Linked DNA regions of Drosophila melanogaster. The protein of the gene in region 1 purifies or fractionates together with the protein of each later gene. This does not show direct contact. Each region holds a gene or a part of one and is shown on either strand. Other genes may lie near its edges.

Region 1 (6,009 bases):
GCAACTGCATGTTCCCAGTGCTTTTTTAATATTTATGCAGCAGTGCGTGCAAATTCGAACGCGAGACGATCCGCTTTTCGCTGCATCTATGCGCTGAAGATGTGCTGCAGTCGATGGGCTCGTCGATAGTGGGAAGGCTCGGTGCCGGCACTATCGATTCCCAACACCATACGATAATATCGGCTAAGTTATCAATATCGAAGTTTACTATATTTCGGGTTTTTGCGTTTTAAAAATTGGCAAATCTACCTTATACAACATTTTTGTAAGAAGTAAAAAGTAGTTTCTCTTATGGATGCATCGATAAAAACTCGGCTCACATCGCTCTAAAAGTGTGTCACCACCAACAGAAAACCAAAACAAACACGACGCGAACAGTGTGACCAGCACACCAAAAATTAAAAAAAGGAACAAAAACGTTTAAATATGGGTCGTCTTGATTTGAAATATGTTTAGTCATTTAAAACATTGTTTTGTTACTGTATTGTTATTTATTTTATCTGCGCCGGCGAAATAAAATCTCATTTTATGTTCAAAACGTAGTTATCAAAAATATTATCTATTTCACGGAAAAAACTTTTAGCTTACTTCACAGAGAGGTTTTTTTTGACTGGAAAACGGCTTAGCTCGGAATTAGTAACAGTCCGAAATCATGTTCTCATCGTCGCGCTTCAGCGCACCGAGGATGTCATCCAGCAGGGAGGTAAAGTTCTCCTTGCACTCGAACCACTCCTGGTGCTGCTTAACCAACTGGTCCAGGTCAATGGTCTTGAGCTCCTCAAAGAACTGCCGCAATGGCACCGCGAACTGCTTATAGTAGAACTCATCGATGTGCCGCTTCTCCGCTGTTTTCCCTTGCGCGTTTATCTGCATCTGGGTCTCAAACGCCTTCTCCAGGAGCTGTGCATCCTGCGAGTTCAATATGGACTCGATGACTTCGTCCGCCTCGGTGGGATTGACCGGTGGCTGCTGTGGAATCGGAGTTGGCTGCGGCTGGGACGGGAAGTCGAATCTTGGCCGCTCTCTGTCTGAGAGCGGCGATCTCATTTCAATCTCCTCCATTATGCCCTTGTAGCGCTCGAACTTCTCCGTCATGGTCTTGACGCCTTTAATGAGGAATTCCAAAACCTCCATTGAAGTCTCCTCGCGCAGGCACTTGAGTAGGATGCCAAAATATCCGTACTGCTGTACTTCACCAAAAACTTTGGCAATGCTGGTTTGGATCTCTTTCTCCGTCAGCGTGACAATCTTCTTCTGCTCCTTAGAGAAGGTCACTGTGGGAAAAGAGCCATCTATCATGCCCTGATTGCTAAACTGGCGGTAGAACTCGCGGCGCCAAAAATTTAAAGCATTCAGCTTCACCTCCGTGTGATGATCCCCGATTACACAATAGTTGAGGGTTGAGAAGAGGGTGTTCTTGTACTTCTCGTGGATCTTGCGGTGCTCGTAGATCTTCATCAGCGTAATCACGGCCTCGGATCTCACGATATCGTTGGTCTCCCGATACATTACAAACAAAAGATGGTCCTGTCGAGAATTCAAAGTGTTTAATTAATAATTTTTTCCGAGTATATGTGTAAATAGATTAACTCACTACAAGATCGAGCTGGCTTAGACCATTCTCCCACAAAAGGTTTATGGAGACCATTTGGGAAAGACACTGGAAGGCAGACGCTCTTACATAGACTTCCGAGTCATTCTTGGCCATTTCGTAAACTATCGGGGGTATCTTTGAGTCGATTAGAAAGCGTTGGAAGGCGGGAAACTCTGTAGAAGCAACGTATCATTAATGTTAGGCACTACGTTAAGATAATCACACGCTTACTGATGCGGGAGATACTGGCTATAGAGGTGGTAAGCTCCAGCGTTGTGTCACGCACCTCCCACATTGTGTCGTGCATTCGCTTCACAATAATGGGACCCAGACAGACCAGCGCGGAGCCCTGCAAGTTGTCCACCAAAAGAGCCATGTTCGGTGAAAGGAAATGCTCCACAGCGAGTTGGACGAGCTTCAGCGCTTGGACAGTGCACTGCAAATGAAGAATCACATTTTACTATTTTAACCCGCTAGAAATGAGAGTTTGTTTTGCTTACCCTAGCATCCATGCTTGTGTTCTCCAGGACAAATGCCAGACAATTGACCAGGCCAATGGTCTCCACCGACTCCTTCCACGTGATCTTAAAGCGTTCGATCAAGGTGCGCAAACCCACCATTACGGAATGCAAAACTTGTGGATCGTTAACGACCTGTTCGGTGCCCCGGGGGTACAATTTTAGGTAGGAGCTGCCCGCGCTGCTCACGCTGTGACAGTCATCCTCCCCATTATTTGTGATGACACTCATGGCCACTGCCTCGCGGAGCACATATAGCAAAGCTTGGCACACAGTAACCGCCTGCTCTCGATCGAGAACGTTTTCCAGGGCCAACAGGCTATGTATGCACTTGTTTGCCAGGCCGGCCGTCACCAAGCCAACAGCCATGCCGTCTGCAGAAAAGAAGTTGTCCCGCATTGTGTAGCAGAGCCGCAAGGTCTGTTCGCAGGAGATCTCCAGCAACTTGACAACATAGGCGTCGAAGAGCTCTATCTTGCTCTCCTCGTCGGCGATCTTCTGTGCGTACTTCATGGAGAAGAGCAACGGCAGCATGTGAAAGCAGATTAGCTGGTTTTCAAACGTAACGCGCTCTTGTTGGATGACAATTTCCTTGGGCGCACGAGGTCCAAGTTTTTTCCAAAGTACATGATTGAGCTCCGCCAACTTCACAAAACTCAAGCCGTCCTTGCGGGTAATAAGGAATTTCATGAGATTAAAGAATGCCAACCCGAACTCGGTGAACTCCTCCGACGGCTCGGTGGCGTTCGGATTCAGCAACTTTTCGTGCAACAGCAGGGCAAAGTTGTAGCTGCTCAGTGTGGTGAAGATCTTCTCAGTAAAGTACGGGTTGTGGGTCATATCGATCAGCTTCCAAACGGTAATCTCGAAGTCGTGATGCTCCTTGAGCAGGATGATCAGAGTGGTGCGCTCCTCGAGCACCAGCGTCTGCTGTAGTATGTAGGACAGTAGATCCAGTGTCGACGAGATCTTGTGCAACATCTCGTTGTCGTCCACCTTGACGTGGATGCGCTCCACGCCGTCGGTGTTCTTATAAAGATTGTCGTGAATCGGCTGCATAATCTCCGACAGAATCTCCAGGGTAACAGCCTTATCGTGCAGCTTGTCGCAGGACTTGTACACCATGTTGTAAAGCACTTGGCGGGCCTCCCGCACCACGTACAGCGTGTGATCGTTGTTGGAATACTGGATGAGCAGCGTCCAGATCCGGTGCATCCGCAGAAAGGCCAGCCCCATGCTATACACGGTGATGGCTTTCATCAGACGTATGCCACCTAACTTAATCGATGGGCTTAAGTTGTGTTCCCTCTGTAGTAGTTTCACTGCTCTAAAATGGTAGTCGATTATTTTAAGAGATTAGAGCCTGGTTTTCTATCCTACCATTTACCTGTTTACTATATCAAGCTCTCTTAGGCGCACGATCATCCACTCGTTGTTCGCCAGAAAACTGGTCAGATTCAGCATGAAGGATATCACCTTCGGGTGGATCTTTTTGAAGTCCTCGGTCACCGCCGTGATGCACCTGTCCACCCATTCCACCACGAATGGGGCCTGCAGCACAAAGGCATTCTCTGCGGACAGATGGGATTCATTTGAGGATTTAAGGGCAGATTGCGGGGCCACTCCGATTGGTAAACTCACCCTTGGCCTGCAAGTGCGTGAGGAGCTTCTCAAAGTAAACATTGTTCGTAGTGGAAAAGTTCTCGCGTAAAAATATGTCGAATATCGTTCGCAGGCGCGACAGCGTCTCTTCTTGCTTTTGCATCTTGCTGTTTCCACACTGACTGCTTAAATGGCGACTGCCCCTTATGGCATAGTTTTGGAGCTTGCAATTGATCCACCGAATAATGAAATCGTTGATTGCGGGTTCTGGTTCTTATCACACCGAAAGACACTTGTTTTGTATTGAGTGGCCGTGTACGTTTGCAGTCGAAATCCAAAGCGCATTCGCCAGGGTTGCCAGGTGAGCGGTCAAAGTCACGCATCGAAACATATAACGGTGCATAGTTTCCCTTTTATTCTTTGCTAATAAGTAATACCATTACTACCATTAATTAAAATTACCTAATTATACTACTTAATATTGCAGAAAGAAGAACTCTGTACAAAACATTTTCGTTATGTTTATACCTCAAAGATTACGGTCTTTATTAAATATTTTTTAATTACATACCTTTTTTCCATATTTCTAAAAGCTTTTGCATAGAAAAATGTCTTGAATTACGAGTTTTCATTTTTAATCATTTATATCTCTTGATCGACTCGTCGGAACTATACTAGGTTCACTCTTCTCCACAAGTAATGGGTATCAATATGGTTCGGTTTCGCACCAGTCACTTGATCACGATACGCTCTCATCACTACCAAGAAGTGTCGTGCGGTGAAAGCCGTAAATAGTTGCCATGGTCACACTGTTTTTGATGCAAAATAATATAATGACGCTGACATAGAATCGGCTCTAGGGAACGTATGATGGATAACAATGTAGAGCAATTAGCAGGAAAGAGCCAAACTGAAACAGCCGAGTCCACAGCAGCAGCAACAGGAACAGCAGGAGCAGGTGTAGCAGTAGTAACCGTGGCAAGTGGAGCCGGACCAACGCCCGGCGCAAACTCCTCGACCTTTTGGAAAAACAGCGGACGTCGAGTGCCCGGACGACCCAGTCCCAAGCGGGAGCTCGAGAAGGCGGCGGCAGTTGGGGTAGCGGTCGGTCGCGGCGCTGCCCCCGGATCTGGCATGGTGTCCACCTTCACCGAGTACCAGAAGTCGGTGAGCGATGCCTGGGACATGGGTGACGACGAGTTCTGCATCATCAGCAGCACGGAGGCGGCTGCCGCGGCCGTTGGAGCTGGCGGTGGGTTCCGCAACCCCGATGGTTTTCCTCAACCTCTGATCTCGTTTTGATCCCCCAACAGATGCGGCTCATTTCTCCCGGCAAGTGTCGCAGACGGTGGCTCTCAACGTGATCGAGACGCACTCTCGAAGCAACCAGAACCATAATGCATCCCGGTCAGCAAACGAAAGTGGCGCAGATTTGGTCCCAGTCAGCAGTAGCTCGACGGACGACTGCAAGGAAGACCGTAGATCTCTGCCGGACAGTAATGAAAACAGGTGAGCGGCGCCAACTCAACTGGGAAGTCAAAAAGAAAGTTGAACCCAATGCCTGCAGTTGTGCAAATAAGTCAGGGGTGTAGAGCGGATCGAACCCGCTTTCTGAATTATTTCCTAGGTGCTATTTAAAAAGCATTAACGTGTTTATTATCAAAGTAGAAACTAAAGATATGAAGAATTCCGTCATATGGGAGTTGAAATACTTACAATAGATTCAAATTTTGAAACGGTACTTTACAATATACAATATACAATATTACTATGTAATTAGGTTAAAATTACCTATATATGTTGTTAATCATTGGGGCGCTCCTAACTTATTATTGCCATTCGCCACGTTTTAACGAGTATTAACACCAACTTGGCAACCGCTCCTGAAGCATTTCACTTTCTTAACTGATAGCCACTCCCAGCTATTCCCACAGAGCAATGTCGGGAGACGCGGAACTAAGACCGAAAGTAATCAAGACTTCAACGGTTAGTAATATATATTGCCATTTCAGATCTAGATTGAGGAACTACCCGGGCAGACCGCAATTGCAGAAGATCAGCTCGAATTGCCAGGACAGCGAGTACGAGACGAAAATTGAAAAATTCCAAGTGGTGCTAGACTCGCCTCAACTGGACTTGGTGGCCCTCAAGAAGATCAGCTGGTCTGGCGTGCCTCGGAAGGTGAGAATCGAACAAATATTTCGTTGTGTAATTCTAATTAAACCGAACTCCAGATGCGCGCTGTCAGCTGGCGACTCCTTTCGAAGTATCTTCCGCCTTCAAGTGAGCGAAGGA
Region 2 (4,548 bases), on another chromosome or scaffold:
ATCTCATCAAGGATCGTCTTTATTGTGGTGATGATCACGAGCTACTGGCCATTCGTCAAACTCTTACCCACTGCTATCAACAACTCTGCAAGAGCTTATGGCCCATTGTTCCCTTCCTGGTGGAGGAAAGCTGGAGCTACTATGACACCACAGGTGGTGCATTCCACGAGCAAATTGTTCAGACTAATCCTGAATGGCAGGACACCAAAGCCACTGAAGTGATTAATGCAGCGTTCGATGTTAAACGACTTATTAACCAACAGGCTGGAGATGTTAACACCTGGCACTTGGCCGTGACCATCAAAGGAAAGGAAAGAAGCCAGCTGGATTTGCTGCGAGAACTTCACAGCCCTCTTGGAGAGTCTGTGAGCAATTCTGAATTATGCGAGATATTGCAAGTGGGGTCAGTTACGCTCTTACAGTCCCATAATAGCGACTTGGATATTGCTTTAAGTAAACTTCAGATATCACTGTGCCCACGTTGTCGTCGCTATGGTCTGGAGGATGAGCAGAAAACGTGTCAACGTTGCTCTGACGTTATGGAGGCAAAGAACTAAGCGTAATGATGTGTTGTTATTTAGGTGTAAGGAATACATTTATGTTTTTAAAAACTCTGTAAGCATTTCATGATGGTGTCTCGCAGCTTGAGCCGGGTTGTTGGCTTTCCGCCGCAGATAATATGCGTCTCGTTGTCCTCGAACTTAATGACTGTGTCCTCATTGACAAGGTTCAGAGTCAGAGCGCCGCCAGTGCGGTCTAGCTTGATGTTGGAGAAGCCATCCTGTGCCAGCTTCTTCATCACTGCATCTACATCAATGCTGCCATACTCGTATTTGACGTTCTTCAGCACATCCTCCTTTGTCGGAGCGCTGTTGCTCGAGATGGTCTCGTCTTTAACGCTATCCGCACATGGCTGGATGCAGTGGACCTTGTCCTTAACTTGCAAAACTCCTGTCAATGTGGAGAAGGTCACGCCGGCCGCCACCTCCTTTGGCGATATCTTTTGGGCCAGTTCCGAGGTAATGTAAATTCGATCCAGCTTCCGTTTTAATGGCAGACGTATGATCTCGCCGCACTTGAACGTTATTATCTTCTTATCCGGCTGTTCAATGAACAAATTTGGGGCCGAGGGATGTGGTTTTGTGTATGCCTCTGGGATGACAAGCACATTTGGTTTCAACTCCTTGATCAGCTTATTTGCCTGCTGATAATTCAAAGAGGTGTCGATGGGACAGTAAAAAGCCTTCATGGCCAGTGGTTGGAAGGGCGCCAGTACTTGCAGATACGGAAAGTCCGGCTCCGTGAATATGATGGAGTTGTTAGGGTTATTGCCCCACATCTCGATAAAGTGAACAGCGTCGCCGAAACGCAAGCTAGGATGGCCACAAAAGACCACGCAGGGCTGTAAGGAAGACAGAGAATTTGTAGTATGAAGTTTTCACAATTATGTTAGACAAACCTGCCGGAAGTCCTTGCTAAAGCCCTCGGAGAACACATGGTTATAGTGCTTCAGCTTGTTGTTGCGAAGGTAAAAGGCATGTGGGAAAGGATCGTCTGGAAGATACACTTTGTTCTGCTTGGCGGAACTAAGCCACTCGGCCAGGATATTAGAATACGCCAAGGAGCTGTCTGCCACAGGGGAAATAAAGAACATGGGAACATTGTTTAGGCCAGCGTTTTCCAAATTCTGGGTGAGGCACTCAAAGAGGTCATAGACAACGCCCGAAGGATAACAGGGAATCAAGGCAGACCCATTGTTGCGGATCGTCAAGGCCACATTCATGCAGAGCTCGCCCAGCTTCGTGTCCGGATTTACCGTCGGCGCCTGCGTCAGTCCGGTCATAATGAGTACATCGGCGTGCTTCAGCGCCGACTGATTGATGGGCCGCGGATGTGTGGTCAACGTGGAGGAACCACTGACATAGCAAATCTTTTCATGCGCCGTGCTCAGTACCCAGTTGCTCGAGCCCAGGCAGTAGCCCGAGCTGACAGGAGTGGCGATAAAAGCTCCGAGGATGTCCAGCTTCTCGTCGTAGCCCATGATGGTCACCTTGGACAGACTGCCTTGGACATCCTTAAGACTAAAGATAGTGCGCCACTTCTTGGCGCGAAAGGCTTCGCTCAAGGGACTGGGCAGCAGATGAAGCTTCTCCTTCCACAAGCGCGCGGTGCACGCCTTGGGCGACACTTCGATATAGTCCACCAGCTCCTCCAGGAAAAATCGGCCGATCTGCAGCGTTGGCTCCGTGGCATAGACTTTGCCCTTGAACCCCGTGTTTTCCGTGATATACGGCAAGGCCAGCATATTAAGATAATTCGAGATAAGTATCACATCCACTTCGCTGAAATCCAGCATTTTGTCCATGGGTAGATTAAACTCGGGCGTCGAGTCCACGAAAACCCGGCCACAGCAGTCCTTCAACTCGCCATCCATTTGGGGATCATGATCCCGACTGGGCACGAAGTTGGGCAGATTGGACCACTTCAGTGACTGAACGAAGGGCAGCGGAAGGAAATTCAGGACTGTCTGCTCCGTGAGACCGCAGTCCAGCATAATCCGCAGGCCCTTGAAGGTAATGATATAACATGGCTTGGCCAGGTCCCCGCTGAGACAATACTGCAAAGTGGATAGTCACTTCCGCTAATTAAGTTGTTATTTACTTCTCAGGATGACTTACCAATCGCATTTTATTAAACCGACAGTGCCGATTAGACGATGCAAGTTTGTTTATATTTGGACCAGGGATGGGGAACGATTTGGTTCACTTATGAACCGGAATCAGCACCCGGCTAAATCATTAACCATAGGTACCAAAATTAGTTAATTACAAATTTTGGTAAATGTTTTACTACTTGTTAAACTGTAGTCATCACGCTTTAACATTTGTGCAACCACATTTTTTTCACTCCACTTGTTGCAGTGCTGTTGGTTTCCATCCCTGGTCTCTTTATTTGGTTTTTCGCAAATTTGAATAATGTCCCAGCAAATTCGCGTGGTACAATGCATTCAATGCAAAATGTACCAGGTGAGTGCAAACAAACTGAAATATATCTTAGAACTCAATAACTACTTATATATATATACCTAATTTAAACAAGGTGGACTTCGTGAAAAAGGCAAGCACATGGCAGTGTAAAATTTGCCGCCAAAAGCAAAGTTTGCTCAAGGAATTCTTTCGAGGATCGGCAGCGGAATGCCGGGTTAAGGTGCAGCATCTCAACTTAGAGCGCGGAATGCAGGAGGAATGTCTGAACACGGGCTTATTCCTCACGGCAAAGCAACAGCTCGAAGAGGAGAAAGACTGCCAAGAAAAAGAGGAAAACACCACACCTCAGAAGAAAACAAATAAATGGGCAAACTATGTGGATAATACCATTGAAACTACTCAAAAGCCTGCAGCAAAACCTACGAAAACCGATGAACTTTCCGACGAAATCTCTATGAACTTTAAGAAAACCAGGAACACAGGGCCACGATCCTCTAAACGTTCCGCTGAAAATATGCCAACAGTTACTAAGAAAATTTGCTCTAAGTGGAACGACTTCTTGTAATTCCTTAAAAATTATATATCATATATATAAATATATATTTGAATTAATTTCAATTAGAACTTATTTATAAAGCGAAGAATATTATCAGTGCTAGATTATCTCCAATTAAGATTTCCAGTTACGTGAATGAATTAAGCTTATCTTTATTAAAAAAATAATTTAATTATAATTGTTCAATACGTTTTATTAAAATCCGCTTCGTTCTAGTATTTGTGTATATGAGTGTGAGGGCCATAATGTTCACATTCAAACTGAATACATTGCCTTGCCTTGCACTAATGCTAGAAAAATACAAGTTTTATGATCCACTAAATATTGTTAGTTAAAGTTGGGGTAATTTGGGATTCACTAATCGCCGATTGGGCAACATGTTGGACATGCTTAGCTCCTTGTGCCCCAATCGGTTTGAATACTCGTGTATAGATTAGAGTTGGTTATAGTTAAGTGACGCCTGGTCGCGCTTTTATCTTGAGAGAAATTGTAATATTAGTAGCCGACTACGTGTATATAACCTATTCTCGCCGCTTAGGTGCTGGCAGGAGTGCCTCCGACACCCTCCTTCTTGGCCACCTTCTCATCGGAGCCGGTCTCATCGATGTCATTGGACTCGGTCTCCGTGCCGGGTGCACCACCTGCCTTGCCCGATGACCTACGTCGCTTGCGGTTGACACGCCATGGACGCATTGGAAACTTCATCGCCGGCAATGGCTCCATGCCAAGCACTTTGTAAATCTGTCGAAAGGCAATGTAGCGCAGGAAGAGCTGTGCGGACACAGTGAGATCCTCGCGCTCCTGTTTGGTCAACTCGAGTAGAGCGTCTGTGGGGTCCTTCTCGCAAGGATCCAGCAGGCCCGGTCCGTTGATTAGAAAGCCTGACGATAAGGCCTCCATGATGCGACGCATGCAGTCACCGGGCGAAATGGGAAAGCCAGCCGACGAGATGACCTTCTCTACGAGGAGCTCCAAAGACCATTGGGGCAGCGATTGCCAGGAAGA

Evidence for each region.
Region 2: the proteins of CG7044 (region 1) and IntS9 purify together in Drosophila melanogaster (affinity purification with western blotting; one study listed by BioGRID). This does not show direct contact.

The regions. Positions count from the first base shown.
Region 1 is NT_033777.3:21,097,696-21,103,704, forward strand, and holds CG7044 (uncharacterized protein), read right to left. Parts: upstream 4,024-6,009; 5' UTR 3,878-4,023; coding exon 3,754-3,877; intron 3,684-3,753; coding exon 3,500-3,683; intron 3,440-3,499; coding exon 2,095-3,439; intron 2,031-2,094; coding exon 1,826-2,030; intron 1,768-1,825; coding exon 1,595-1,767; intron 1,528-1,594; coding exon 634-1,527; 3' UTR 534-633; downstream 1-533. Other genes in the region: Tbc1d22 (TBC1 domain family member 22), read left to right, coding at 4,582-4,966, 5,028-5,223, 5,727-5,895, 5,949-6,009.
Region 2 is NT_037436.4:16,102,877-16,107,424, forward strand, and holds IntS9 (integrator 9), read right to left. Parts: upstream 2,752-4,548; 5' UTR 2,688-2,751; coding exon 2,679-2,687; intron 2,618-2,678; coding exon 1,460-2,617; intron 1,403-1,459; coding exon 605-1,402; 3' UTR 558-604; downstream 1-557. Other genes in the region: IleRS-m (Isoleucyl-tRNA synthetase, mitochondrial), read left to right, coding at 1-557; CG43295 (uncharacterized protein), read left to right, coding at 2,976-3,026, 3,100-3,552; Zn72D (Zinc-finger protein at 72D), read right to left, coding at 4,078-4,548. UniProt on the Drosophila melanogaster protein: Component of the integrator complex, a multiprotein complex that terminates RNA polymerase II (Pol II) transcription in the promoter-proximal region of genes.